4 linked regions of the Struthio camelus genome follow. Each later gene encodes a partner of the first gene's protein in a complex. Links are inferred from orthologs where the notes say so. Each region holds a gene or a part of one and is shown in the gene's direction. Other genes may lie near its edges.

Region 1 (6,397 bases):
ATTTTCCATTTCACCATGATTTATAATGGTAATTCTTCCACTATGCCTACTGCTGAAGAAAAACATTAAATTATTTCCTTGCAAGATTAGCTTGAGACTTAGATTCTCTCCATATTTTAACAGGGTTGCTACAGCAGTAAAACTCTCCCAGTGGCGCACACAACTTCAAAATCCTTCCAGGTCCATGAGAGTCATACCACTGTGTCCCCAAGAAATTAGAATAGAAAGACTGTCAGAAATCATCCCCCAGTCAACATGACTGTACAAAGTGTCTAGCTTAGGCTGAGGCACCATACCACCTAATATCTTCAAGAACCAGACACTGAGGTCTGGGAGATCTGCAAGAGGCAGGAAGGAGAATGGTATACTGCCAAGTCATCTTCACCTGGGACAGGTTAGCATGGGAAGACCACTGGGTCTTTACACAGCTGAGTCAAGTACAAACCCAACAGAACCAGAAGGTGAAGTTCATCCCATTGTGTACCCAAGCTAACTCCATGCTGCTGCACTGGATTTACTTTCATGTAAATCTGTCCTTTGAAGGTGCAGCCTCCTGGTGGAGCTTCCTATTTGGTAATACAGCTCTCCTCACTCCTAATTCATGGCTGCACCTTCACGTCTGTTTTAAGTTCTCTGATTGCAACTGCTGCCCACCTCTGTGGTGTCTGTGTTGGTGCTGCTAAGACTCCAGCAGAGACAAACTATGTGGTTATCAAAAGTAGCTTGCTTGATGTGGGAGAACAGTGCAGCAGAGCAAAACCCCATTTACACTGGTATATCATTAGGAAAAGGTGTGGGACATTAATTATGTCTGCAGTCCAAAAGTGGAAACATGGGTAGCTCTAGAAATTTTCCTAAGAAATGTGTTTTTGACAGGCAGCATGGAGTTACTGCAGGGAGTTCCTGTTTCAGCACATTCAGCTCAACCAGGAAATATTTCTGGGCAGCTCAGCTGTCTTGCAGCAATGAGAGCTGAACAGGCGCTAGCCTTCTCTCCTCAGTATTAGTGACATGGTGTGTTGACGATGTCAGTGAGCATTTGCGCTTACACAGATAACACCGTCTAATGTATCGCTTCATCAGAAATGCTGCTGCCGCCATCGGATGTTCAGCTGCTTAATGTGTTTCCTTAGGAACTAAGTGTAGGCAGTCATGCTAAATTCCCACCTCTGAGCTGTAAAAGAAAATACTATCCATCCACTCAAGATCTAAGGTTTGTATTAATCTATGACAAAAACTCTTTCCTGTTCATTTCCTGTTGAGCAACAGACTAAATATCCTGACTCAAAGGCTGAAAAGAATGCAAACTATTACTCGGCATGGGGAAGTACAAAGAAGACAAAAGGTGAAATTCACCCCTGTGCTGAAGGTCAGGAGAAGACCCACGTAAGCAGACTGTCTCTGAGTCAGAATGATTCAATCAGCAAAGTAAACAGCAAATTCCTCAAAGGAGAAAAAAAAAAAGAAAAAGCTGTTCTGTTTCCTGATTAACCAAGTTATCCAGTTATCTACATGAGATGTAGTCATGCATTCTGTGCTTCCAGCAAAGTACTTCTTCCTACCCTACCAACACACAAAACTGCTGCAGACGCAATGTACAGTTGACAAGATCACTGATGTGTGAATTCATGCACTGATTATGAAACTAGAAGTCAAGCATTCCTGCTCTGTACTCTTGCTCAAGAACTGCTGTCTATGACCTTGCAAATTTTCTATTTTTTTGATGACAACAATGGTTTTGTAAAAACAGGGCTGCAATATTTAGTCATCTGTCAGAGGAACTGAGTGAATTAAAACCTGAATGTAATTGCTCCTGTATTACCTGGTATCTAAAAAGTTCTCCCAGCATGAGTTGGAGACGCTGTGATCAAAACTGGCTAAGTATACAAAAATAAGAAAAGTTGTTTATAGATAACATACCAAAACTGCTATATTGGCATTCACAGATACATATATTTATCCTTAGCAGTTGTCAGAAAAATGCAAAAATGACTTCCACAGCATGATTTTATCCAGGAGACTGGCTCTAAACTCATTGGCATTCTGCCACATTGTTCATGTCATTGCTGGAAATCAGCTGTTTTTTTGCTCCAAATGACATGAATAATTTTGCTTTTCCTGTATATTGCTTCTTCTCAACCCAGGCTTTCTTATAGAAAGCTCATAACACAATTGGAATTACTCTCTCAGCTGGCCCACAGTGAATCTTGCCACCAGAAAGACTATTGGCTTAATTCCAATGTTGTCTCTCTTGCCTACAATAAACTCCAAAGGAAAATCACGCTCCTTTCTAAAGGTGACGGAAACAAACATCTGAGAATGCTTCTGATACATGATAGTTAAAACGAATCATAAAGGCCAATCTTACATACTCCTACCCAGCCATAAAAGAATCTCTAACACTGTGCGTGAAAGCAGCCTGGCTCAGGAGAAGAAAGACTCTTCGGCTCGACAGCATTAAAGACTCAGATTTAAGCAGGTAATGATGTTTTTTGCTTCCAGCAGAAGGAAGCTGGACTATCCTCTGGAAGGTAGAGTGCACCAAAAAAAAAAAGTTCTGTTACAGAAAGGTTAGCTACTGAACATGTGTGTTTTCCACATAAGCACCCAATATATTAAATATGAAGGGAATATTCCGTAAGCAGGTACATAAATTCACACATATAATAACGTAAGACGTGGATTAGAACAGACAACATAGACATTAGCGTAGACATGACAGATTAGTAAATGGTACAAAGATTGGTTAATGTCTCGAAGATTAAGAGTCAGGAATTATAGCCAGAGCAGCAGGGCAGAAGTTTCATGACCATGAAAACATTGATGCTCTCTACAGCCAAGAAAAGCTGTGGCAGCTTCTTTGCCTGGGAGCAAAGCACTAGCACTATGGCAAGGACATAGCTTATTCGTCTTTTAAACTCTCAGCCTTTCCTGTGTATGAAGTAATGAAAGAGTATTGGTTTGCAAATTTATTTTTATATGGGAATTGATTCCACCGTGTTTTGACCTGCAACACTTGCAGATAACACTAGAAGGAAAGTTCGTTAGCAGAAGTCTCCCGTGTGGTGCCGCAGTCATCAGCCAAGTCAAACACTGCCACCTCGTGGACATATATCTGTATAGACACACAGCTATAACAAGAGATGTGAGTAAATATATTCCTGAGCTGAAAACAGTCCTCAACGCTGTCAAACTTCGAGAACAAAACGTTAACGTCTGGAAAAGACCGCCTTCGACTCCAGCGTAGTCATTTTCACACCCTCACAAGTGTGTACGTGTAACTTACACGCACACAGCCAGGATCGCTAAGCTGTGACAGATTTGTGCTCGGCTGGGAGAGGAGGTGTTACTCTTGCGGTACAATTTGCAAGGCGAAAGAAGGTTTCTGCCGGTTTGAGGGGAAAAGGCTCACCAGTACAAGGGAGACATGGAGCTACTGGAGAGAGTCCAGCAGAGGGCTATGAAGATGATGAGGGGACTGGAGCATCTCTCCTATGAGGAAAGGCTGAGAGAGCTGGGCCTGTTTAGTCTGGAGAAGAGAAGACTGAGGGGGGATCTTATCAGTATGTACAAGTATCTGAAGGGAGAGTGTCAAGAGGATGGGGCCAGACTCTTCTCCATGGTGCCCAGTGAGAGGACAAGAGGCAACGGGCACAAAGTGAAACACAGGCAGTTCCATTTGAACATGAGGAAAAACTTCTTTCCAGTGAGGGTAACTGAGCACTGGAGCAGGTTGCCCAGAGAAGTTGTGGAGTCTCCTTCCTTGGAGATATTCAGAAGCCATCTGAACGTGATCCTGGGCAATGTGCTCTAGGTGACCCTGCTTGAGCAGGGGGGTTGGACTAGATGATCTCCAGAGGTCCCTTCCAACCTCGACCATTCTGTGATTCTGTGAAAAGAGCACGGAATCAACCGCTCGGGGCCTGCGGGGCTCTCGGGCACGAGGTAACCAAAGCAGAGAGGGAGGGGAAGGCCTCCACTCAGCTCATGGGGTCCTGAGGCAGCTGGCACGGAGGCGGGAGGCGGCTCCCGCCGGCCCTGACAGCCCGCCCGCCGCCCGGCTCCCGCAACGGCCGCCCCGGCCCGACTCCGCCCCGCTCCCCCAACGGCCGCCCCGGCCCCGCCCCCTCCCGGCGCCGAACGGCGAGAAGCGCAGCACAAAATCGTCGCCGGCAGCTACGGTGCCGCTGGCGGGACCGACCATTGGTTGGAAGACGGCCGAGCTGCGCCAGCTCGGCCAATGAGGGAGGCCCGTGGCAGCCCCCAGCCAATGGGCAGCGCCGCTTTTCTCTTGGCGCGCAGGGGTGCCGCATCCTATGGAAACTGCGGCGCCGCGGGGTGAGAGGTCGGAGGGCAGGGCGCCGCCCCGGAAGCGAAAGCCGGAGCGGGCCTGCCTTCCCGTGGCTCCCGGTCTGCGGCGGGCGCACGTGCGGCCCGGCAGCAGCTTCTCTGCGGCCTGCGCGTCCCCCTCGGTCGCTGCCTCGCCATGGTGAGGGCGGCGCGCGCTCGGGCCGGGCCGCGCTCGGGCCGGGCCGCGCCGCACCGCGGGGGAGGGGGCCGGGCGGGCAGCGGGCGCAGCGGCCGTTATTAACGGTCTCGAGGCGGCGGGGCGGCGGCCGTTATTAACGGTCTCGAGGCAGCGGGGCGGGGCGGGCGGGCGGGGATCGGGCACGCTGACCGGGCCGCTCTCGCCGGCAGAGCCTGCCCCTGAACCCCAAGCCCTTCCTGAACGGGCTGACGGGGAAGCCGGTGATGGTGAAGCTCAAGTGGGGGATGGAGTACAAGGGCTACCTCGTCTCCGTCGACGGTTACATGAACATGCAGGTGAGGCGGCGGTCGGCGGGGCGCGTCGCCGGGGCACGCTGAGGTCTTTCGGGCTGGGGCAGCCCTGTGCTCGACTCGGAGCACCCGCTGCTTGGGGGAGGTGGGGGGACGGGCACTTTTAAAGGATCTGTAGTGTCTCTGCTGCGGGCTCGACCGGAGCCGGGTGAGAGCTGCGCATGGCCTCCTGCGATCAAGGTGGCCAGACAGCAGCCGGTGGGCAAAACGTGGTGCTTTCTGTGAGGTTTTCTATTACGATCACTTTAACGCTTGCTGGTTTCCTTCTTAAGCTTGCAAACACAGAAGAGTATATAGATGGCGCCTTGTCTGGACACCTTGGTGAAGTTTTGATAAGGTAAGGTAATTGGGGCTCTTATGGTGGAGGCAGAGTCTTTCTAAATTTTTTCACATCAGTTGTGCTAAAACTTGTAATGCTAGGTGCTGTGTTTCCTGTGTAAGTATATACCAAAATAAGCATTAATGTAATTCCTGGGCAAAGACTACAAACTCTTTTATGCTGAGATTCCTCCTGAAGAGAGGAAAACTGAATTTTGAAGTACTCGTAAATAAATATTTATGATGCCTCTCTTAAGTAATTGAATGCCTTAGTTTTCCCGAGTATTGTAGATTATTAATCCCTTAGCGTTGGTAGAGTAAAATTTTACATGCTTGCATATTAAGCTTGACCATAATTGTTAATCCAAAAGTAAAATTGTCTTGTACAGCATTGTTAATCAGTTAATACTTTAAAAAAACTTATTTTTTGCAGTTATAATGAATTTTGTGGAAAAGCTGTGCAAGGTCAACAGCAACAATTTACTATGCAGAATTTTGCTGTTGCTGGGCTACTGTCGTACAGGAAAATGCCTAAAATGATGTATATGTGAGGAAAATTAAAACCTATATTTACAGCTAAGGGAATTTTTTGATTCTGTTTACAGGTGCAATAATGTTTTGTACATCAGAGGTGTGGAAGAAGAAGAAGAAGATGGAGAAATGAGGGAATAGGTGTTTTGTATATCTGGAAATAAACTTTTTTCTTTTTTATTTTCCACAACTTTGTAATAAGGTGTTTACTTCTCGTTCTCTGTATTTTAATATGGAGGAAGCTAATGCTTAAATCACTTGTAATCTCTAAATGGCATCTGGAAAAACTAATGCTGGAGGAAGAAGAAATTGTTGCAGTTTGAAACTGAGAAACTCAGAGTGAAAAGTGAGTATTAAAAGTATTGTCATACATTGAGACTGGTAATACTTAAAAGCTTTGGGTTTCGGTTGTTTTGTTTTTTAAGGCGATCATTTGAATTTAAGTGATTCCCAGAGCTGAATTAAATCTTCCAAGCTGTGTACTCTGGGAGAAAATATATGGCTCATTCTTTTATCAGCTCCATTTAGTATCAGTACTTGGCTGTCAGGTAGCCATAATGCAGTGCAGGCTAGCATATAATGGAAGATAAAGAACTCCCCGTCTTGTGTACGTGGCTTGTTCTGCTGCTCTAAGCTGAATGGATGAGTAGAGTGAAGGAGCTTGCAGGAACAGCCTTTTCTCTCTCTAATGGTGATGATGCAGGCTGTA
Region 2 (7,147 bases), on another chromosome or scaffold:
GCTCCTGGACTTACGTAGCAATGATATCACTACAAACCTGCTATTAGGAATTGCAGTAATAAAACAACGACCCTATGGTGTTCCGTGACCTCTTTTTGTACAGTACAGTACTACCTACCATGCAGAAAAGACACCTGTTGGCAGAGGTGCAAGCATGTGTTTTTAAGAATGAATATTTGTGCACTGTCGCTCGTGTTTGTTTTATTGGTTTGTCTGTCGATAATGCAATGCTCTTTACACAAAACCTCAGTCAGACAAGTCAAGGTCACTGAATGATGGAGCTTCAAAGCTGAATGTGCTCTCTGAAGCAGTCTTGATGTGGGAGGAACAGAACTTTCTTATGCCACAGATAAGCTATAATGCTTACTGAATTAAATTTAAAAATACATCCAGTTGTTAGCAGTTGATTTAGAATGTCCTTTTAAACAAGCAGTGTTGCAATAAGTTCATACTACGAAAAGAATAATGAAAAGTTATATGTTAATCTCTAGTGTCCTTATTTCTGCCTTTTACTGGTAACAAATACTACTGCAAAGGTTTATCGTAAATGAGAATTATGTTATCTTCATGCCCCGGGAGCAAGCAGGTTCTTAAAACCTTAATGAGAGAAACTATTCACCTTGGTCTTAAAAATAGCACTAAAAGCACATCCAACCTACTAGTAACCTTTTCTAAATGGTGATTTGCAAAAAATCCCACAGTTTGTTATTACAGCTGTAGCTGATATGCAAAAATACATCAACTACAGCATATAATAAAAAAATTGAATAAAATTAATATTCTAATTAATATTGCTGACATGATTTAATGAAGTTCTGGGACTAAATTTCACCTTGGACTAAATCTATTGGAAAAGATTTAATTATTACAGAGATTAATTTGATCTCTGATTTTCTAAAGCATTGCAAGATTAAAAAATTCTGCAGGGAATGTTTACTTGTAAAAAGTAGAGAATAACAACAGGGTTATGTGAACACTAATAATAACATCAAGAAACAGCATATATGAATGAAATTTTTTTGCAAAATCTAAATAGAGGATTTTTTTTTTCAAGGACTGATAGAAAAGTCTGCATCTCAAGTAAGCTTTTCTTAAAAAATGCAATAAAAAGTAAGCCTGATTTCTTTTAACAGACAATAGAAAGGAAACAAGCATATCACAGTACTTTATATATTGGCAGAGACTAACCATCTACACACATTAAATCCATTGGTCAGCCAACCAACCAAAGACATGCACTTCTCTCCGTGTTAAAAAAAAGATGTTTAAAAAATTGTTTGAAATCTCTGGTCCTAAATCTCCTTTTAAAACCTGCGTGTCTTCAATTGATGGAATTCTGAAAACAGACAGCTGAGAAAGCTCTGGAGCCCACACTTATCTTGAAAATCCCTGCTGGCAGCCTTTTTCGTACAAAAACCAAGAGGCTGGAAGAAGTTCTAGCATGGTTTTCAGGGATGTGAGAGAAATAAAAGAAACTATATTTGCAAAGCCCATAAGCCAGGTAAATACTTCATGGTCACTTGAATCCCAGGTAGATGCCTCGGGAAACGTTCACCCACCCTTTGCTGCTATCAACTGGCACAAACGCATTCTGCCCAGACTAGGCTCCATCTGCAACAAACGGAGATTTAACAGGGGCGTGGGTTAGCCAGCTGTCCTTTGGGGGCCTCCTTCTCTTTAGGGAAGAGAGGCTAAATGCTAGGCAATAAACGGAATTTACACTAGAACCAAGAAAGCACGCTTAGGCAAGCTGGAGACCCCTTGCCCTCTGGCAGAGGTAGAATGATCCCCTCCAGCAGCGAGCTCTGCAATTCACCTCTGATCTCACCAGCCCAGCAGGACACAACCAGCTTGCACCATAGTGACCTCCTGCCCTATGGAGTTTGCGCTCCAGTTTGCAACCTAAACAAGGGTGGACGGGGCTTCCCCTCCTTGAGGCACAGCTCTGCTGCTGTGGTCTACCGCACTCATCCCCGTCGAAGCCTCAGGAACCCGCCGGCGTTTCCCAGCCTCTCAGGATGGACTGTCGAAATAGGTCCTCGGGTTAAACATGAAACCTGGCTCCCAGGCTCAAAATAGAGATGGCAATGGCCCTCCACTGCTAGGGGCATAATGTAGCAGACATCTGCTACCCATCTCCTATCTTAGCCCCAGAATAGGCATGAAGCATGCTGGGGTTAGAAGCTACGTAGGGTGCATTTATGGCTATTACTGCATCTCAATTATCAACTATAAAAGAGCAGTCTGGCCACCAGGAATGATCTAGCAATTTTGGAAAGAGAGGATGGTCATTATGCAAAACAGAAGGGCAATTTTTATGCCAGAAATAATCCCATGGTTGTGCCACCCTATGACTAATAAAGATGAGAAGTTTGAATGAACCATGGGTATTTCAGTAGATTATTTTTTAGCCTAAATCAGTTCTCAGTCTGCTCACAACTCAAGCCACACAGACAGCTGCATTAAGTGACGGGTACAGTGGTAAAAAAGAGCAACGTAATGGAGGGGCAAGGGCTACTAAAGCTGGCCCCACTGACAAAAGATGTGCTTGCCAAATCACAGCTTTAGCTTGGTGGGAAAAGACTTCCTGAATTTAAGAGTAGATGGGTATATGTGAAGAAGATAGGTGCATCTTTGCAGTTGGTACATGTGCATTTGGTTATTTTACTTACGAAGGCAAGTGAACAATGTGCTGGATGATACATTTTTAGAATGTGCTGCAGGATACGCTTTGAAAAAAATATGGACTTCAGTCCTTTAGCAATTCACACCTTGTCATGAGATGTAGGGATCACCAACTCATATACAACTTTAGTTCCCATTTTAAAGTAGCATTCCCATGGACATAAGTTAAAGAAATCTTTCCAGAAGAGTTATCAAGTATAACTGTTAGAATATTACATAACACTAATATTTTTCTTTAGAGGTTGCATTTTACTCCTGGGTTTAAAAAATTGTCCATGTCCAACTCATTGTGTACGGTTTCATGAACCGGCTTTATCTTGGAGAACTCATGAAGGAAATGACCATTAAGATATGTAACCGCACCACACAAAACAATTAAAAACGCCATCACGTCCTATAAAATCAAGCTGACATCACTCGTAATAGGGGATCCTTACGGGTATTTCATGCTTGTTCTCACAAGGTCTTAGCAAGACACAGTTTATCTTTCAGAAAGCTCAATATTGCACTCCGCTGTTCGGTAGCTGTAACTGCGGCTTGCATAGGCTGGCGTTAAAGCATTTCTTGTTCACGCTTGCGCTGAACATGTGTAGCTTCACCACGGGAAGATTTACTAGTTCGTGATGACGGTGACTGTGAAGGGTTGCTTTTAAGACAGAAGTATCAGCACGGTGACGTGCCCTTGCTTACGCCGAGTCCCTGCCACAGCCAGTCTTGATTATATGATTAAAAATCGTCGGTATCAACTAACCCAACAGGACCGAATCAAGATGTTGTATCGGTCTAGCTGATACAACTAGCATAAAATATTAGCACTTTTTTCTGCTTGGGCGGTTGCTCATTTACCTCCATCTTGACCGCTCCCACCCCAGAGCGGTCTCAGTTTTTCTCTCCGTGTTTTATTTTTATTTATATGGTTGAAAAACCATTTGTCATTTGTTTTAGCTTCATCTGCAAGGCCTAATTCAACTCAAGTTTCGATACGTGCCAGTTTATCACTAGACAAAACACCACCAGACAGCCCAACCTCCACGACTCATTAAGGAGGCTCTTCCCGGCTCTCTGCAGGTCTTGCTTTGCTCCCCTAGGAGCCGTTTCCCTACTCCGTAGACCCATTTTGTGGCGGTTGTTACCCCTCCACCTCAGCAGCCCCTGCATGGAGGTTTTTGCTAGTGCTTGGTGAGCACCTGCAAGATCCAGATTTTTTTTTTTAACTGATAAAAGGACATTTGACTGCTGCCAGCCACTAGCAACTCCCCTTTCTGGAGCCGAAGCCTCAGGCACAGCCCTACCTCGCCTCACTGACCCCTCTCGCCCCGAGCGGGACTCGAACCCGCAGACCCCAGGCACGGGAAATAGGGGGTGGTGCGGCTGAGCCCCGCCCAAACTGCGCCGCCGCCGCCGCCGCCAACGGCCCATTCCGGCCCCGCCCTTCGCCTCCCTCCCTCCGCCCGTCCCCGGCGCGCGTGCGCGCTCGCCGCGCGGCGCGCCACTTCCGGTGCGGCGCGAGGCAGGCGCCGGAAGTGCCTCCATAGCGGGTGGCGGTGAGCTGCGGCTGTCCGAGGTGGCCGGCGCCATGGTGGAGGTGAGGCGGCCGGACCCCGCGGCGCGGTGGCGGCGGAGCGCGGCGCGAGGCGACGGGGGCGGCTTGGGCCCGTGAAGGCGGCGGCTGCGGCGGTCCCTCGGCCTTTGCGGCGCCCCTGGCCCCGAGGGCAGCGCGGGAGGGTTTCCTCGGCCTCGGTGGGCCGTGGTTTGCGAGGCTGAGGCCGGGCGTGGAGGCGGGCGCGGGGCTGTGCCCCTCTCGGGCCTTGTTAGCTAGTCGGGAACGCGGTGGGTTTCTCGTGAGGTCTCGGCAGCGCTGCCCGGCAGGCGGCCGCCGCGTTTGTCGGCGGTGGGGTAGTTAGCGTGGAGCGAGTTTCGTGCGCTGCTGAAAACAGGGAACTGTCAGGAGCCTGTAAGAAAATGTAAAGAATGCTGGCCTATGTCAGGCTGCCTGCTGTTTTTTTCAGTGTGGTATCTCTGTCGAAAGCGTTGCCAGATGCTCCACGATCTTCCGTTCGTAATGGGGAGGCATTCTGTTACTTGGCGCTCGTGTGGTGTTTACAATAGCTACTGTAGTTGAACAGCAGTTCTTCCCCGTAGTTCTTTCTTCAGTTTGCATGAAACTCCCAACCCAGTTCCAAAAAGTGTTAACGTAGTTTCCAGTTTATTGCTGTTATTTCTGTGATGTGCAGAACAAAGGCAGTCCTATAGAGAGTTCTGTTTTCAGCTATTTCCTAATGACTTTTTTTTTTTATCTTTGGGAGGAAAAGATTTGAAAACAAAAACTGAACTGTGCTGGTAATAAGAGAGTATTCTGTAGAAAGAGACCTAAAAGTTTTGTTATTTTGCTTCTTAGTCTTTGAATGGAATTTTAATGTTTTGCTTTTGGTAATAAGGAAACAAAATTATTTGGAGAAAACAAATTTTGTCAGGTTTGAGCCCATGTTTGCTCCCGTGCTTGCATTAAGTGACACAGTTTACACAGAAGTTTTATGAATGCTCTTGTTCTTTTTATGGAGATAGTGAAATAGAATTTATAGGAATGTTTTCAGAATCAGTTACTATATAAAAACAGAACTGGCAAGTGTGTAGGAAAATCTTTCCTGTTTATGTGTTCATCATATAGGTGCCAGTGCAGAAAGTTTGATCAAAGTTTTTGGCCTGCTTTTCTCAGTTTTGTTGGTTTCCAGGAAAGGGAGAGTTGAGTAAACACTGAATTAAAACAACACATAAACTTTAATGTTTAGTTTCCAACAAGAATGTTTTCTGCGAACTGGATAGTGCCGCATCATTTAACACTGTCAGGGCCTGAAATTGCTACTCTATTTAACTTGTATTACTGTTTTCAATTCCTTATTCAGCTGTGGCCAAATGTATTTAAATATGCTTTCCTTTATTTTTAGGAAGTCCAAAAGCATTCTGTGCACACACTTGTGTTCAGATCTTTGAAGAGAACCCATGATATGTTTGTAGCTGATAATGCCAAGCCTATACCATTAGATGAAGAAAGGTATGTGCTGCAATCAGTGAATTACTGGTATGTCTCAAAGCTTTAAATTATGGTAGCGGTTGTTCTAGTCAAGTCACAAGTTTGGATAGAATTACAGTGTGATGTTAAGGGAAGAAAAATTTGAGGATTGTAAAGTGAGTGGTGTCAAATGCTTTCTAAAATATTTCAAAAGTTAATAACAACTCAAAGATTAGGCTTTAATATGCTTTCCTCTTCCAACAGTCACAAAGTAAAGATGGCAGTCAAGTTGCGTACAGAGTATGGCTCAGTGTTGCACATGCCCACTCTGAAAGAAAACTTGAGAGAGAAAGGAGGCTCAAACACTGGGGATCCTTATGGACATAAACAGTATTCTGGCAATCAAGGTTAGTTTGCTCCTAATGGTATGTTTGTCTTTTGTTTTGGAAGAGACAGTCTCACTGAAGTTAGTTCTCAAGGCTGTAGTGTTAATCCATCACAGATACAGGAGGAAATCATAATAGCTGGTTTTCATTGGTATTTTTCTTGCTAGAGTTCAAAGGAGGTTAGTGATTTAGAACAAGGAAAAAGTTTGTTAGAATACAGGGAATGATACGATGCTGTGTAATTTTTACAGTAATTCAGAAACATAGTGTGTGTTATGCTTAGCTACTGGGAAAAGTATAAGCTCAGTGATGTATTTCTTCTTTTTCAGGTTGATGAAGTTTTTTTTTTTTTTTAAGTTTCATGGAATTTTTTTTCAGACTTTCTTTGGCTGTGCAGCTATTAAGTAGAAAAATCCATTTGTTTTAAATATGGTATCTTTTTGACTATTTTTTCTTTTTGGTTAAATATAAAATGTGAAACTATTAGGTAGATCCCATATAGAAACTTCCCTTATAAAGAATGCAAAATGCTTTCTTATTTTAGTAGAGGTATTTTTTCAGAACACTTTATTTGGAAATATTCTGAGAGTGAAGAAAAAAATGTTGAGAGAGACTGAAAAATCTTTGAAGAAAAAAAGAACTTGTATTTGCCTTTTTCTTCTCCAGTATCACACCGTAAATTGTCTTGACTAGCCTATGTATCAAAAGATCCCATGCTGTACGTGAAATACAGGTTCATTATGTACTTGAATCCTTTTCCATGGTCTCTACTTCAGAAAGGCACCTTTGGCAACATAAAGTTGCTTCTCATGAGAAAGAGTCCCTTTTGATAACAGGCAGTGGCATCACCGTTTAAAAAATGTCATCTTACTAGCCAGTTCTAGAAAACTGGCATAACCAAAACAAATGCATTCCAAGTAAATGTAGTATGTTACATAGGATCAGGGCTATGTATGGCCTGCTCTGATTTTCTTCAGTTTCCTGCTTTGTAATGTCATTTGCAGTGTAGTGTAAAATATAATTATTAATATGAAATTATGTTGCTCTTTAGGACAAGAACTTGAAT
Region 3 (7,766 bases), on another chromosome or scaffold:
TGCTGGGGGGGCACATTGGGGACATAGAGCCCTGGATGGCCACCATGGGGACATATGGCCTGGGGCACCATGCTGGGTGGGTACAGTGGGGATGTGGAGCCCTGGATGGCCACCATGGGGACATATGGCCACAGGCACTGTGCTGGATGGGCATGGTGGGGACAGAGAGTCCTGGATGGCCACCACAGAGATATATGGGCCTGGGTACTGTGCTGGGTGGACACCATGGAGACACAGAGCCCTGGATGGGCATCACAGGGCCATATGACCCTGGACACCATGCTGGGTGGGCACCATAGAGACATGTGGCCCTGGGCCACCTTGCTGGGTAGGCACCATGAAGACATCAAGCCTCACATGGGCACCTTGGGGTGGCCCAGTGTGGCGGTGCCCATCCCGGCACCCATGTGCTGTTTGCCACCAGGGCCAGACGTTCACGCGGACGAGCCGGGCGGTGGCACAGAAGCAGCGGGCTGGGCAACGGCGCTGGTGCCTGGTGCTGGTGGGGCTGGCTGTTGGCCTTGCCATCATCATCCTCATCGTGGTGCTGGCACTGTGGCTAGGTGGCACCCGCGCCACCCCCCCTGTGCCCCCCACCGTCACCCGCGCCGCCCCTGGTGGGGACTGAGCCCCCCGGCCTGCCCCCCCGCCAGTGCCTCTGGAGACCCTACAATAACTCGCAACCTGGGACCTGCTTCAGGGAGATTCTACAATAACAAGCCACCAGGATCTGCTTTGGGGGGACCCAGTAACAAACCATGGGGACCTACTTTGGGGAGGCCCTACAATAACAGCTCACCAGGACCCACTCCAGGGAGACCCTACAATAACAAGCCAGTGGGATCTGCTTCAAGGAGACCCTACAATAACAGCTCACCAGGACCCACTCCAGGGAGACCCTACAATAACAAGCCAGCAGAACCCACTCCAGGGAGACCCTACAATAACAAGCTACTGGGCCCACTTTGGGGAGACCCTGCAATAAAAAACCACTGGGTCCTGCTCCAAGAAGACCCTACAATGACAGACCAGCAGGACCCACTCTAGGAAGACCCTACAATAACAAAGCCCAAGCCTGCTTCGGGGAGACACTACCATACCAAGCCAGTGGGACCTGCTCCAAGGAGACCCTACAATAACAAGGCCCTAGAACCCACTCTAGAGAGAGCTGACAATAACCAGGCCCTGCTTTGGGGAGGCCCTACAATAACAAAGCACTGCAGGAAGGGGTGACCCTGACCTGGGGGCACTGCTTGGGCAGGGAGAAATCGCCCTCTGCCAGCTCCGCCTTGGGTGCCCCAATGGGGACGGTCAAGGACCCAGGCATCCGGCAGTGCGGTCCCCACCCTGGGAATGTCACCCATCTCCAGTCCCATCCCCCTGCCCAGGGTGGGGCATGGCAGGACCCCAGGGTGCTGCAGCCTGGTACCACTTCCCTGCACCCCAAGGTGGCCTGGCATCGCCCGGGTACAGGGCACAGCCTGGACCCCTCCTGGGGCACGGCATCCCTGGGCAAGTGTCACCCAGGAATCGCCCTGGCACCCTGTGGCATCGCCCAGGTGCCTGTGGCACAGCCTGGCACCCCCTGCCCAGGTGGGCACCGGAGCCAGGACCGTCTCCACTGTGAGTCTCTTTATAGCCGCTACCGTGATTAAAAAACCAAAACCACTACAGATCCCAGAGTCTGTCCCACTGCTGTAGGTGCCGCAGCCCCACACCTGGGAGGGGACCCCAGGGAAAGGATGGGGACACTGGGGACCCAATGGCCCTGGCCATGCCACTCCAGAGCCCTGGGAGGGGACAAGACGGGAGATGTCGGGTGACGTCCCTGGGGTGGATGGCAACGGGTGAGGCCACGCTGCAGACCCCTGGAGAGCGGCCCCGGTGCGGCCACGCCAGCACCCACGCATGCAGCACCTCGGCACCCACCAGCACGGCCCCGGGGTCCCTGCCAGGCTCCTGGTGCCCCCACCCCATGTCTCAGTATCCCCAGGGTCCCCAATGAGAGCCGCACGCCGGGGACTCGCAGCACCTTTATTGGCATCAAATGCCGACCGGCACCGGCTGACGCTGTCCCCTCCGGGCTGGCAGTGTCCCCCCTGCCGCTGGCACTGCTGGGTGGTGGGGCAGAGCCGGAGGAAGGTGTCCCCATCACCGGGTCCCACGGCGCTTGCTGAGCTCGTCCTGCACCCGCTGGCACAGGGCCCGGCGCAGGGCGGGCTCCAGCGGGCTCCGGGCGCACACCCGCTGCGTCACCTCCTCCGCGCTGTCCGCCTGTGGCGCCCCCACCCCCTGTCAGTGGCACCCGTGGGTGCCCGCCATCCCCCCAGGTTTCCTGCTGCCCCCCATGCTCTGGGGCACCCGCTGCACTTGCTGCGCACTCCACAGCACCTGTCTGCACCCAGGGGCACCCGCCACCCCCATAGCACCCATCTGGGTGCTGGGGCACTTGCCATCCCCCACAGCACCTGCCTGTACCCCAGAGTACCCCCCCCCCAAAGGCACCCACTGCCTCCCGGAGCACCTAAAACCCACTGTCCACCCCTTAAACCTAAAGGCACCCACCTACACCTGGGGCAACTAGCACCCACAGCAGCCCACAGCACCCACCTGCACCCAGCACCCACAGCCCCCCTGCGCCCCAGGGGCACTCACAGCATTGCCCAGGCAGGAGGGGACCCAGCTTCCCCCCAGCGCACCGTGGGACGCCCTTGAAACGCGGTAGCGCAGTGCTGTGGTTAGAGGTGGGGGTACCCGGACGCCTGGGTCCCTGGGGTGCCCACCTGGTGCACGATCACAGCAGTGACGCTCCCGTCGTCCCCCTCGTACTCGAGGCAGAAGAGCCGGGGCCCGCGGGCGTCCGCGGCGGTGGCACCCGCGCTGCTCTCGGCTGGGCTCCGCTCTGCCCCCGCTGCTGGCACCCAGCACCCTGAGCGGTGTCGCGGGGGCACTGGGTGCTCCGAGTATCCTTCATGCCCCAGCCCACCCTAGGGTGCCCCCAGGCACCAGCCCCCCCCCCCAGCCCTCCTTTGGGTGCCCCTCACTCCCCAACCTACCCTAGGGTGCTCCCCATGCCCTAGCACACCTTGGGTGCCCCCCACATCCTGGGACACCCCAGGGTGCCCCTCATGTCCTGGCTCACCCCAGGGCACCCTTTGTGACCCAAACCTCTTCTGGGTGCCCCCCAAGACCCCATCCCTCCCTTAGGTGTCCCCCATCCCCATCCCTCCCTTGGGTGCTCCCTGTACCATGGCCCACCCCAGGGTGCCCCCCATGCCCCACTGCATCCCAGGGTACCCCCTATGCCCTAGCCCACCTTAGGGTGCCCCCCCATGTCTTAGCCTCCCCCTTGGGTGCCCCCACGCCCCAGCCCACCCCGGGGTGCCCCCCCATCCCCATCCCTCCCCTGAGTGCTCCCTGTACCATGGCCCACCCCAGGGTGCCCCCCATGCCCCACTGCATCCCAGGGTGCCCCCCCATCCCCATCCCTCCCCTTCGGGTGCCCACCATGCCCTGGCCCACCCCGGGGTGCCCCCCCACGTCTCAGCCCCCTCCCTCGGCTGCTCCCCTCCCCAGCGTCCCCCCCCCGCCCCCCCTCCCACCGCCGGGGCTCACCGGGGCCGCGGGGCCGGTAGACCTGCTGGTCGGGTCGGCGGGGCCGCGGTGGGGCCGGTGTGTGGCGCTTCCGTGCCCGCCCCCGGGCCTGCCGCACCGCCCGCTCGTAGGCGTCCCTGCACCGGCACCGGCACCGGTACCGGCACCGACCCGCTCAGCGCTGCCGCCCCCGGCACCGGCACCGCGCCGCCGGCAAAGGGGGCCCGGGGGAGGTGAGCGGGAGGAGACGGGGGGTCGGGAGGACATGGGGGACCCGGGGGGGGGGTGTCCCGGTGATGCACTGGGCTCCGGTGGGGGGAGGAGGGGGGCGTCCCGGGGGGATCCCGGAGATGTTTTGGGGTCCCGGGGGGGGGAGACAGGGGCGCTGGAGGGGCAGGAGGGGTCCCGGGGCTCCACTGGGGTCCCGGGGGTGCCTTGGGGTCCCGGGGGGGGGCTTTGGGGCGTCATGGGGCCCTGAGGGGGCCCCGGTGAGGTCCGGGGGGCGGGCGGGGGGCCGCGAGGCGGCCCCGGTGCCGGTACCTGGCGATCTGGTTGCGGCGGATGTGGCGCACGAAGCCGTGGCTCATGTCGAGCCGCCCGCCCGGCCGGCAACGCCAGCCCGCGCCCGCCTCCATCGGCCGCCGCTCCCGGGACCGGCCCGCCGCCGCCGCCGCCCCCTGCAGCCTACCCCCCGCGGGCACCGGCGGTGGCGGGGAGCGGCCGGGACTGTCCCCGGAGCCGGACCCCCGAGGGTGCACGGCGCTGCACACCGCACCCGGTTGGAAAAGGGACGCTGTCTCTTTAAAAGCCCCGCCGGCCGCACCGGCGCCGGTGGGCATGCGCCGCAGCGCCGCCAGCGGGCGGGAGCCGGCGCACTGCGCAAGCGCTAAGGAGGTTCCCCGCCTCCCCCCCCTCCCCGGCTCCGGGCGGATCCCCCGCTCATGCGCGCTAGCGGGGGTGCGGCCGCTACCCTTCCGGATTGGAGCGGCGCATGCGTAGTGCCTGAAACGGCGGTGAAGATAGGGGGCGGTGGAGCGCACGGTCCGTGCTCTTGCGCACGCGCAGTTCTCACTCACGGCTCGGTGCCCCCGCGCCGGCCTGGGGAGGCGCCTGCGCAGTGCCGCCGCCGCGCCTGCGCAGTGCCGCCGCCGCCGCGCCTGCGCAGTGGGCGGCGGGATGTCGAGCCGCGGCAAGCGGGAGCGGGAGCGGGAGGCGCGGGCGGCGCCGCGGGGCTCGGGCGGCGGCGGCGGTTCGTCGTCGTCGTCGTCGCGGGGCTCGTCGCGGAGCCGCCGCGAGGGCGAGGCGGAGCGGTCGCGGGGGCGGCGGGAGGCGGAGCGGGGGCGGGACCGGGACCGGGACCGGGATCGGGATCGGGACCGCGACCGGGACCGGCGGGAGGTGGCAGAGCCCCTCCCCCTCCCGGTGGACCCCGCGCGCATCAAGCGCGAGCCCGGCACCGGCACGGGCGGCGGCACCGGCGGCCCCGGCACCGGCACGGGCGGCGGCAGCGGCGGCCCGGTGCGCATCAAGCGCGAGCGCGAGCCCGACGGTGACTCCGAGCCTGAGCCCGAGCCCACAGGTGGGCACCGGGGGCACCGGGCCTGGGCGGAACCGGGGTGCTGCCGGGGTGGTGCTGGGGGAGGTCTGGGGGTGCACGGGGTGGGGGGGCCGGGGGCTGATGTGGGGGGTGCACGGGGGAAACCGGGGGCTGACGTGGGGGTGCACAGAGGGGACGACCGAGGGTGATGCTGAGTGACCCGAGGGACCGATCTGGGGGTGCGCAGGGGGGTCCTGCTGGGGCCGAGGGTTGTTTTATGTCACTCTGAGGGGGACAGGGGTGTTTTTGGTGTCCCTGCATGGGGACACCACCTGGGGAGGAGGCTGGACGATCCTGGAGGAGCGGGGCTACGCGGGAGGAAGGCCGTGAACGGCGGGGGGCCTGGTACTAATGGGGCTGCGTGCTCCCCGCTACAGTGCGCTATGGCCGCTTCGACCCCGAGGACCAGCGAAGCCGGCACTGCCCCTACCTCGACACCATCAACAAGTGAGCGGGGAGGATCCGTGGGCCAGCCACGGGCACTGGGAGGGCAAGCGGAGCGGCGACCCCAGGGCATGGCTCCCTTGGGGGCTGCCCCATACGCCGCGGCTTTCTCCTTTTCCTGCTTTAGGAGCGTCCTGGATTTCGATTTTGAGAAGCTCTGCTCCATCTCGCTGTCGCACATCAACGTCTACGCCTGCCTCGTGTGTGGGAAGTACTTCCAGGGTGAGTTCTCGCCTCAGGGGCTGGGGTCACTGAGGGGCTCATGCTGGTGGGAGGCTGCCTGGGGTCCGTTGGCATGAGGGGGAGGCAGCCCACGAGTCAGACTGGGAGTTGTTTCTCACCTGTCCCCGCGCGCTTGAGGTTCCTTGAGCGATTCCCTTTGCGGCTTGGGGCCAAACATGCATTTATCCATCCCTCTCTGCTCTGGAGCTTGTGGGATCCCACACTCCCCGTGGCCTCGCTGGCTCCTTCACAGTTGAGGTTTGAGCCCTCGGACGCCTGGGCTGCATGGTCTTGCGTTCCCTTGTTCGCGGCCTGTGTCCCTGATGCTTTCCTCTGCCTCGGCAGGCCGAGGGCTGAAGTCTCACGCCTACATCCACAGCGTGCAGTTCAGCCACCATGTTTTCCTCAACCTGCACACCCTCAAGTTTTACTGCCTCCCTGACAACTACGAGATCATCGACTCCTCGCTGGAGGACATCACGGTGCGGGGACCTTCACAGCGAGGGGCTGGGGGACTGGGGAGGGCTGCTGTGACCCTGCAAGTGGTTTGCTCCTCTGAGCTGCACTGAAACCTGAGGATTTAGGTTCATGTCCCTTGGGCTGTCAGGCTTTGCAAGGCCCAGTGGTGGTGGGGAGCTCTGCACCGAGGTGTCTGAGAGTCTCTGCTCGGTTCCTGCTCGCGTGAAAGGCAGCAGGGTTGTGTGAAAGGGATGAAAGTTTCTTAAGTCTTTGCGATAGAGGGGTTCTGGTAGAACACATGGAAGAGGCAGGAGGGTGGCAAGATCTCCGTCCTGGGAGGGTTTCAGAGCACGGTGCCGCTGGGAACTGCAGCAGTGCCTGCGAGGGGGGCCGGTTGGCTTTGGCTTCCTGGCCTGACGCTGTTTCCCCTCTTCTCTCTCAGTACGTGCTGAAACCCACCTTCACCAAGCAGCAGATCACCAACCTGGACAAACAGGCCAAGCTGTCGCGGGCATACGATGGCACCACGTACCTCCCGGGCATCGTGGGGCTCAACAACATCAAGGCCAACGACTACGCCAACGCTGTGCTCCAGGTACGGGCGCGCGAGGGCCTTTGAGCTCGCCCTGGGGGGAGGTGGAGGAAACCCACTTCCCCCTGGGGCTAGCGGGGAGTGCGTCCCAGCTGATCACCGCCTGTGCGCGCGCAGGCCCTCTCCAACGTCCCGCCACTGAGGAATTACTTCTTGGAGGAAGACAACTACAAAAACATCAAGCGCCCGCCCGGGGACATCATGTTCCTGCTGGTGCAGCGCTTTGGGGAGCTCATGCGGAAGCTGTGGAACCCGCGCAACTTCAAGGCGCACGTCTCCCCCCACGAGATGCTGCAGGCAGTGGTGCTCTGCAGCAAAAAAAACTTCCAGATCACCAAGCAGGGTGAGACAGGCGCCTTGTGCCAACAGGCAGCACTTTCCCTGTGCCAGAGGTGGCCGAGGAGGGTTAGACCCCTCTACGGTGCTGGGTGGAGGACAAGGCTCCTTTGTGCTCTTGCTAGGGGTTCACTGCTGATTTATCATCTGGCTTGCAGGTGATGGAGTCGACTTTCTCTCTTGGTTTCTGAATGCCCTGCACTCAGCCCTGGGCGGCACGAAGAAGAAGAAGAAGAGTGAGTGGAGGATGCTGTGGGATGAAGGCTGCTTTCACGCAGCTGGTTTTAACCTTGGGGCAGCCCCAGCCACCCTGATGTCCCCCTGTGATGCTTATCACCTCTCTTGCTCGATCCTTGCCTGAGAGCGGCCGCGTGGGGGAGCAAAGAGCTGGCTGACAACTTTGCAGCTTGCAGTTGGGTGCGAGGTCTGAGCCTTGTAGGGTGTTGCTGGCTAAAAGAAGATTTTAGCCTCTCTCCTAGCCCTGCGTTGCCCTGTGTGAACACCAGCGCTGAGCCACCTAGA
Region 4 (7,787 bases), on another chromosome or scaffold:
CCAGAGACACAGCCAATGTCACACCAACATCAGCACCATGACACAGCCATTGTCACAACAAAATGGGCACAGAGACTTGGCTGGGGTCATACCAGCATGAGCACAGAGATACAGCTGGTGTCACACCAACACAGGCACAGAGACTCAGTCGGTGTCACATCTTTCACGACCTGGAGACACATTGGTGTGACACTGACTGCTTCTCTGTGCCCATATTGTTGTGACACCAGCTGTATCTTCATGCCCTGACAGGTGGGACAATGGCCATGTCTCTGTGGTGATATTCATGTGACACCAACATTGTCTCTGTGTCTGTGTTGGTGTGACACTGGCTATGTCTCTATGCCCTGACAGGTGCAACACTGGCCATCTCTCTGTGCCTATATTGGTGTGGCAATGACCGCATCTCTTTGCCCTTGTTGGAGTGACACTGGCTGAGCCTCTGTGGCCGTATTGGTGTGTCTCCATGCCCTGTCAGGTTTGATACCAGCTGTGTCTCTGTGCTCAATTTGGTGTGACACTGGCTGTGTGTCCCTGCCCTGACAAGTAGGACAATGGTTGTGTCTCTGTAGCAATATTTGACACCAACAGTGTCTCTATGCCTATGTTAGTATGACACCGGCTGTGTCTCTGTGCCCTGACAGGTGTTACACCAACCATGTCTCTGTGCCCATGCTGGTGTGACATAACGTGTATCTGTGCCCATGGTGGTGTGACACTGGCTGTGTCTTTGTGCCTGCATTGGTGTGACAGCAGTTTGTTTCTGTGCTCACGTTGGTGTGATGCCAGCCATGCCTCTGTGCCCACGATGGGGTGACACTCACTGTGTCTCAGTGTCCTGACAGGTGTGACACTGACCATGCCTCTGTGCCCATGCTGGTGTGACACAGCCAGGTCTCCACAGCGCAAGGGTTGGTGGAAACAGCCGGTGGTGCAGGTGCGCTGGGCGGGCTGGTGTGGGTGCTGGTGCAGGTGCCTGTTTGTGGGCTGGTGCCAGGGCGGGTGCCCGATGGCAGGGCGGGCTGGTGCTGGTGCGGGTGCCCGATGGCGGGGTGGTGCCGGGGCGGGTGCCCGATGGTGGGGTGGTGCCGGGGCGGGTGCCCGATGGTGGGGTGGGCTGGTGCTGGGGCGGGTGCGCGGGCGGGCTGGTGCGGGTGCCCGATGGCGGGGTGGGCTGGTGTGGGTGCTGGTGCGGGTGCCCGTTTGCGGGCTGGGGCCGGGGCGGGTGCCCGATGGCGAGGTGGGCTGGTGCTGGTGCGGGTGCCCGATGGCGGGGTGGGCTGGTGCGGGTGCTGGTGCGGGTGCCCGTTTGCGGGCTGGGGCCGGGGCGGGTGCCCGATGGCGGGGTGGGCTGGTGCCGGGGTGGGTGCGCGGGCGGGCTGGTGCGGGTGCCCGATGGCGGGGTGGGCTGGTGCGGGTGCTGGTGTGGGTGCCCGTTTGCGGGCTGGTGCGGGTGCGGGTGCCCGATGGCGGGGTGGGCTGGTGCGGGTGCCCGTTTGCAGGGCGGGCTGGTGCGGGTGCCCGTTTGCGGGCTGGGGTTGGAGCCGGGGCGGGTGCGCGGGCGGGCTGGGGTTGGAGCCGGGGCCGGGGCCGGGGCCGGTGCGGGTGCCGGTTGGCGGGGCGGGCCCGCCGCTCTCCGTGTGCACCGACCACCTGATCCCGCTCCGCCCGCCGCAGCCGCAGCCGCAGCCGCAGCCTTTGTGCGCGGCGCGGCGCGGCGCGGCGCGGCGCGGCGCTGCCCCATGAGGCGGTGAGGCGGCGGCGCGGGATGGCGGCGGGCGGCGGCGGGCGGCCGCCGGGCCCCGAGTCCTCACTGGAGCCCTACGTGCAGACACGTATCTTCAAGATCATCGTGATCGGGGACTCCAACGTGGGCAAGACCTGCCTGACCTTCCGCTTCTGCGGGGGCACCTTCCCCGAGAAGACCGAGGCCACCATCGGCGTGGACTTCCGAGAGAAAACGGTGGAGATCGAGGGGGAGCGCATCAAGGTGGGCGGCGGGCGCGCGGCCGGCTCGGCGGCGGCGGCGGCGGCGGGGGCGGGCCGGGGGCGGCCGCTCCGCGCGGGCCGTGGCGAGGCGGCCGGGGCCGCGGGGGTGCGGGCGGCGCGCAGCGGGCGCCGCAGCGCCGAGGGGCGACCCCGGCCGCGGCGAGGCCGCACGTTGGCCCCTGGGACGGCAGCCAGCCGCCTCTCCCTTCCAGATGCAGCCCTCAGCCCCGGGCCGCGGGAGGATGTTTCGTTCTCGCCCTGCAGACACCCTCCGAACGTGTCGCGGCTCCACCGGCGCTGTTCAAACGCTGTTTGCTGGAGTCTGCAGGGAGTCTGGAACAATAGCGCGGAGTGAAACATTGCTAGTGTCCTGTTGTTCCGATATCCAACACAGATGGATCTCCAAAGTGTCAGGAGTGCCTCCAGCTCCAGGAGGCGGACCACAGGACAGCGCGAGGGGCAACGCTCCAGGGGCGCCAGAGGAAGGAGCTGTATGCAGAAATGTGTATGCTTTCGGGGAGCAGACTGCTGGAGGCTGGTGGTGGCTGTGCTGGGGGGCCGGGAATTTACACTGGCTGACTTCAGTGGGCTTGACACCTGTGATGTTACTGTTCCAGGCTGGTGTTAGCAAGCACTACAAGGATGTGATTTTCGCTGACCTAGAATAGAACTGATTTGCTGTGTGTAGACCAGTGTAACAACTGTAAGAAATTAATTAGCTCAGACCTGAAGAGCTCTGATCGATGTGTCAGAGTAGATCTGCAGCTCAACAGCAGCTGCTAAGAAACAACTTGAGAAGCACAGTTTGCAGCTGATCTTGGCCTGCCCGATTACGTGGATCAGTACCACCAGCAGTCTGGGTGTAAGACAGACTGCTTGAAGAAACAAATATTGCTACTTTGCTAACAGATGGATGATCAAAAGTTGAGGGACTAATCACAGTGAGAACTAGAACTGGAATTTTAATTGTGCCTTTAAACTGTCCATGAAATACTTTTTTTTTTTTTTTAAGAAGAGTTATTAATTTCCCCCATGCTTTCCCCAGCTCCATCCAACACCACATATATGTGTTGTTGTAAGCTGTAGCACAGGCTGGCATGAAGCCCTTCTTACTGCCGCTAGCTTGAGAACAGTGCCAAGCTTGCTACCTTTTGATATTATTTGCGCTACAGCAGGCAGGATTGGAGGGTAGGACAGCAACCTGGCCTTCCCCTGGGAGCATGTGTAACCGGGAAGTCCAAGAGGAGAGGTGAGAGGTGGGAGACATCCATCTCTCTCTCCTGCTCTACCCAAATCAAACGGCCTGGGATGGATTGGCATGGAATTGGTGAATGAGCAGCAGCTCTTTTTTGCCAGCATTTTTCCCCTCTGAAGGACTCTGGGGCAGGTGCTGCCTTGGTAAGGTGTAGGGGTGGTGTTGGGTTTACCACAGGCTTTTGTTAGAAATGACCAGTTCCAGGCTTCACGGCATTACCTGTGAGGACCAGCAGGGAGACCAGTCTCTTTGCTCTGCCTCCTCTATACCTACCACTGTGTAATTGTTGAGGTTCTCTTTTATGGCATAGGATTAGGCAGACCAATGTCCTAATCTGGTGCAAGAATGTTTCTGAAATGAGAAGTATTTTGTGCAGTTCGTTTCTGTGGTGGGAATGCTGGTCAAGTGCATGAGGAAGAGGATGAGAGGCAGGGAGTGGTCTGGCAGCGGAGTGCTCTAGGAGGGATGCCTGACAAGGCGTTTGAAAGTCACCAAGACCCAGCCATCAGGCAGCGACGTTTCTCGCTCAGAGCACAAGGACCAAAAGCGTGCGGCTAATTCTCTTGACTGTGCTGGACTCAGCTGCAGTGGCTGGAAATGGGATGCGCGGTGGAGTCTCGCACTTGTCCGTGAATGCTGAAGGTGAATGAAAGTGCTGACATGATCTCTCTTATTAAACGAGCTGGGATTGCTGGTTGAATTACACAAGCTTTGGGGCATAGGCACTGCCATATACAGTCTTGGGCGCTGTGGACACATGCCCAGACGCTTATGTAACTCATCTAGCAATCCTTGTCTAGTAAGATGTAGGTGTCTCCTGCATCTTCCCGCTGTAGTTCATCAAAACCAACCAGCTCCTGAGGCAGCATGCCCTGGTTTTAGGGGTAGGCACTTGGTGCTCCCGTAAGCTTCCCTCGTCTGCCTCAAGAACCCTATGCTTTGCTTTCTAGGTGCAAGTGTGGGACACGGCTGGCCAGGAGAGGTTTCGGAAGAGCATGGTAGAACATTACTACCGCAACGTTCATGCCGTCGTCTTCGTCTACGACGTCACTAAGATGACGTCCTTCACCAACCTCAAGATGTGGATTGAGGAGTGCAACGGGCACGCGGTGCCTCCCCTCGTGCCCAAGGTGCTTGTTGGGAACAAGTGTGACTTAAAGGAACTGATCCAAGTGCCATCCAGCATGGCCCTGAAATTCGCTGACGCTCACAACATGCTGCTGTTTGAGACCTCAGCCAAGGACCCTAAGGAGAGCCAGAACGTGGAATCCATTTTCATGTGCCTGGCCTGCCGGCTGAAGGCCCAGAAGTCGCTGCTCTACCGAGACATGGAAAGGCAGCAGGGCAAGGTGCAGAAACTGGAGCTCACGCAGGACGCCAACGGTAAAAACTCCTGCCCGTGCTGAGCGAGCCGGCCCAGAGGGCCGGGAGCGGGGCCGCCGCCGCCGCCCTGTGTCACTGTTACCCAATAAAGTCTGTGTGGCTGCAATTGGTGGTGCTTCGCGCGGCGCATGCGCGGCGGGCAGGGGGCGGGGCTGTGCACGGCTGCGCGACGCGCATGCGCGGAGGCCGGGGCGCAGGCGCAGCGTACGGCGCTGTCACCATGAAGTAGGTTTGCGGGGAGCGCGTGGGGAGTGCCGGGGGGGGGCGGGAGGCGGGGAAAGAAGACCCCCTTCCCTCGGTGCTAATGGTGCCCGTCGCCCCCAGCCCACTGACGAAGGTGAAGCTGATCAACGAGCTGAACGCGCGGGAGGCGGAGCTGGGCGTGCAGGAGGCGGTGTCGTGGCACGCCGAGTACAAGGACAGCGCCTGGGTCTTCGTCGGTACGTGCGGCCACGGCACGGCACGGCACGGCACGGCTAGGGGGGGCGCGGGGCGCCGCCGCCCGGCTCGGGGGGCGCGGGGCCTGCCGCGCGCGCGCGCGCCCCCTTCAGGCGGGAGGGGTTCCGACAGCGCCCGGGGCGCGGCCCCTCCCGGCGGCTGCCGTGCTCCGTGCCGCCGCCGCCGCACGCCTCTCCTCCACAGGCGGGCTGCCCTACGAGCTGACCGAAGGGGACGTCATCTGCGTGTTCTCACAGTAAGTGGCGCTGCCTTTGCTACCCTTCAGGGCCTGCTTGTGGTGGAGGTACGCTGGGACCCTGCGGAATGGGAGGTGCTCTGCCTCTGCTGCCTGCCCTCCTGCAGGCCCCGAGGCCCTCTGTGCGTTCTCCGCAGTGGTTTTGGCCGCTAATCATGCGTTTCAGGTATGGAGAGGTTGTGAACATTAATCTGGTGCGGGACAAGAAGACTGGAAAGTCTAAAGGCTTCTGCTTTCTTTGTTATGAAGACCAGAGAAGCACTATTCTGGCTGTTGACAACTTTAATGGAATCAAGGTCAGTGAAGCAGAGCGAGACACAGTCCTTCTAGCTAAAGAGGCTTGTGGTATGACATGTCATGTCGTGTCAAACAGCAGCCCCAGCAGTGTGGGTCACTGGTATCCCGTGTTGCTTGGGAAGCTTGCCTGTGGCTGTGCTAACGATGTGACTCCTTCTTGTAGATAAAAGGAAGGACAATTCGAGTGGACCATGTGGCTAGCTATCGCCCCCCCAAAGACACTGATGATTTAGATGATGTCACCAAAGCCCTCCGTGAAAAGGGCTGTGGAGTTAAAACGCCACCTCATACTTCATCTGATTCGTTGTCAGAAGATGATAACGTGCCAGTAAAAAAGCAGAAAGGTTAAGTGTATTTCTGTCAGAGTCCTTACCCCAGTTGGGAATGTCTGCATGAATCCCTCTGTCTTGCTAGTGCCTTCAGCTCAGGGAAACAGCATCAGTGGGAGAAGGAGGGGCAGATGTGTGCTTGAAAAGGGCCTCAGTCCTAAAGTCCAGGTTGTAATTTGTGATCTCCTGAGTGGTATCTGATTGTCTGTATTTAGTCTTTTACTCCCATCCTCTCAGAGCTGTATCTTGCAGGTAATAATAGTACTTTTTTCCTGGAAGAAAGAAACTGGCTGCCAGGCTGTAGCATTACTCCAGGGAGCGGCAATGCTGTTTGGGGTAGGGAAAGGAAAGGCACTACTTAGTCTTAGAATAGCTGCTTCCTGATTTTAAGATTGAGGTGCTGCAGGAGCATTGCATGACCCTTGTGTGGCCTGCAAAACATAATTAAATTGTGTAGAGAATAAAAAGAGCAGACTTAGTTGGCTTTGGTTTCTGGACATAAAAATCTCAATCCAAGGTAGACTTAAAAATATAGCATAAGTTAAACCAATTCAATGCTTAAATATTCCCTATTGTCAGGGGACACAACAAGGTCTGCTGCTGTATATCTTTCAGAAAACATCTGTTTTTGTTAAGGAAATAGTTTTGTTCAGCTTGGGTTTACTAAATGAATGTGCCAAGTAAAGGGTTAGCCTATATGATCAGATTGATGCTTTTTTTAGAAAGCATTATGGTTTTTATCCAACCTCGTAGCAGAGGTCTTGAAAAGTAATGCACATCAAGGCCTGCAGAGTGCTAGAAGCAGTGGCTTGTAGCAGAACCTCTTTAGATTTGTTTGTTAGCTCCTTCCGAGTGGTACCTAACTGAAATGGGGTCACAGCTCCCAGGATGAGCTGGTTTGGCATGGTGGTGTTGGGGTGGGTGGGGAGGTGGTAGTCATTCTGGAATTGGCTAGTGCTTATGACATGTAACCAGCCATGTGGAGGACTCTTCCCTCCAGCACCTGGGCAGTATCTGTGACAGGCTCCCTGTTAGCTATTTGCAGCAGGTTCAGTAGTGTTGCATTGATGTGGATGTGGGGTGGGTGCCTTGGCATGGGATGGTCAGGCTAGAGTCCTAGTTTGCAAGAAGTGGGCTGGAGAAAAGAAAATATGGAAGAAAACTAAGGTGGGGACTAGATGTTGCTCCAGAGAGCTGAGGAGATGTGCAAAAATGAGAAAGGCAAAGGAGAGTGAAGAAGGAAAAGAAGCATTGAGTCCAGAGAAGGACATTTCCACAGAGTTGTTAAGGACGTTCTTAGTGTTGCATGTCTGTTATTGAGAAAAGAGAATTGAAGGAAAGTGGTTGATGGGCTGAGCCATGTTAAAATGTGCCAGGACAGCTTAGCTGGGAAAAATGCAATGTGGCAATTGTGAAAGAAGAAAGTGGGATGGTTCCATCTGGAGGAGAAAAGTGCTAGGGCTGAAAGTGGAATAGGATCTCTCTGGGCCGTTAGGAGGCTGTGAAACTTGGGAGGGGAGGGGAAAATCATTGACCTTATCTAAAGATGGGAGGGTGTTCAAAAAACGCTGTCGTGTTAAGTGGCATAGCTTGAGGAGCTGAGCTAATGCTTGCAGGGCTATTGCTCCCTAAAGATGAACCTGTATTTCAGATAAAGAGAAAAGCGGGCAAGAACGGCAAAAGCAGAGCCTGCATGCTGTGAAGAGGGCTGCGTCCGCAGAGGAGTCACATCCAAGAATCAAGATTAAAAAGGAGAAAGAGGATCCTGCCTATGACCGGTATGCCAGCGTGAGTCAGCAGTCTTGGAACGGGTCTGAGAGGAAATATGGGAGCAGGACGC

Evidence for each region.
Region 2: SNRPF (region 1) and PLRG1 share a complex: the UniProt entries of both Homo sapiens proteins name them as parts of the minor spliceosome. The link is inferred for Struthio camelus from reciprocal best matches to the Homo sapiens genes SNRPF and PLRG1.
Region 3: SNRPF (region 1) and USP39 share a complex: the UniProt entries of both Homo sapiens proteins name them as parts of the U4/U6-U5 tri-snRNP complex. The link is inferred for Struthio camelus from reciprocal best matches to the Homo sapiens genes SNRPF and USP39.
Region 4: SNRPF (region 1) and RBMX2 share a complex: the UniProt entries of both Homo sapiens proteins name them as parts of the minor spliceosome. The link is inferred for Struthio camelus from reciprocal best matches to the Homo sapiens genes SNRPF and RBMX2.

The regions. Positions count from the first base shown.
Region 1 is NC_090942.1:52,291,085-52,297,481, forward strand, and holds SNRPF (small nuclear ribonucleoprotein F), read left to right. Parts: upstream 1-4,186; 5' UTR 4,187-4,486; coding exon 4,487-4,489; intron 4,490-4,698; coding exon 4,699-4,824; intron 4,825-5,111; coding exon 5,112-5,176; intron 5,177-5,762; coding exon 5,763-5,829; 3' UTR 5,830-5,878; downstream 5,879-6,397. UniProt on the Homo sapiens protein: Plays a role in pre-mRNA splicing as a core component of the spliceosomal U1, U2, U4 and U5 small nuclear ribonucleoproteins (snRNPs), the building blocks of the spliceosome.
Region 2 is NC_090945.1:39,286,530-39,293,676, reverse strand, and holds the start of PLRG1 (pleiotropic regulator 1), read left to right. Parts: upstream 1-4,142; 5' UTR 4,143-4,261; coding exon 4,262-4,270; intron 4,271-5,630; coding exon 5,631-5,737; intron 5,738-5,959; coding exon 5,960-6,102; intron 6,103-7,132; coding exon 7,133-7,147. UniProt on the Homo sapiens protein: Involved in pre-mRNA splicing as component of the spliceosome. Component of the PRP19-CDC5L complex that forms an integral part of the spliceosome and is required for activating pre-mRNA splicing.
Region 3 is NC_090968.1:1,819,913-1,827,678, forward strand, and holds the start of USP39 (ubiquitin carboxyl-terminal hydrolase 39), read left to right. Parts: upstream 1-4,754; 5' UTR 4,755-4,770; coding exon 4,771-5,173; intron 5,174-5,568; coding exon 5,569-5,638; intron 5,639-5,762; coding exon 5,763-5,857; intron 5,858-6,202; coding exon 6,203-6,339; intron 6,340-6,758; coding exon 6,759-6,911; intron 6,912-7,025; coding exon 7,026-7,251; intron 7,252-7,402; coding exon 7,403-7,480; intron 7,481-7,766. Other genes in the region: VAMP5 (vesicle-associated membrane protein 5), read left to right, coding at 425-628; C27H2orf68 (UPF0561 protein C2orf68 homolog), read right to left, coding at 2,152-2,274, 2,784-2,929, 3,616-3,731, 4,135-4,433.
Region 4 is NC_090952.1:1,703,379-1,711,165, reverse strand, and holds the start of RBMX2 (RNA-binding motif protein, X-linked 2), read left to right. Parts: upstream 1-4,781; 5' UTR 4,782-4,802; coding exon 4,803-4,852; intron 4,853-4,951; coding exon 4,952-5,067; intron 5,068-5,269; coding exon 5,270-5,321; intron 5,322-5,487; coding exon 5,488-5,617; intron 5,618-5,781; coding exon 5,782-5,962; intron 5,963-7,598; coding exon 7,599-7,787. Other genes in the region: RAB33A (ras-related protein Rab-33A), read left to right, coding at 1,769-1,990, 4,195-4,650. UniProt on the Homo sapiens protein: Involved in pre-mRNA splicing as component of the activated spliceosome. As a component of the minor spliceosome, involved in the splicing of U12-type introns in pre-mRNAs.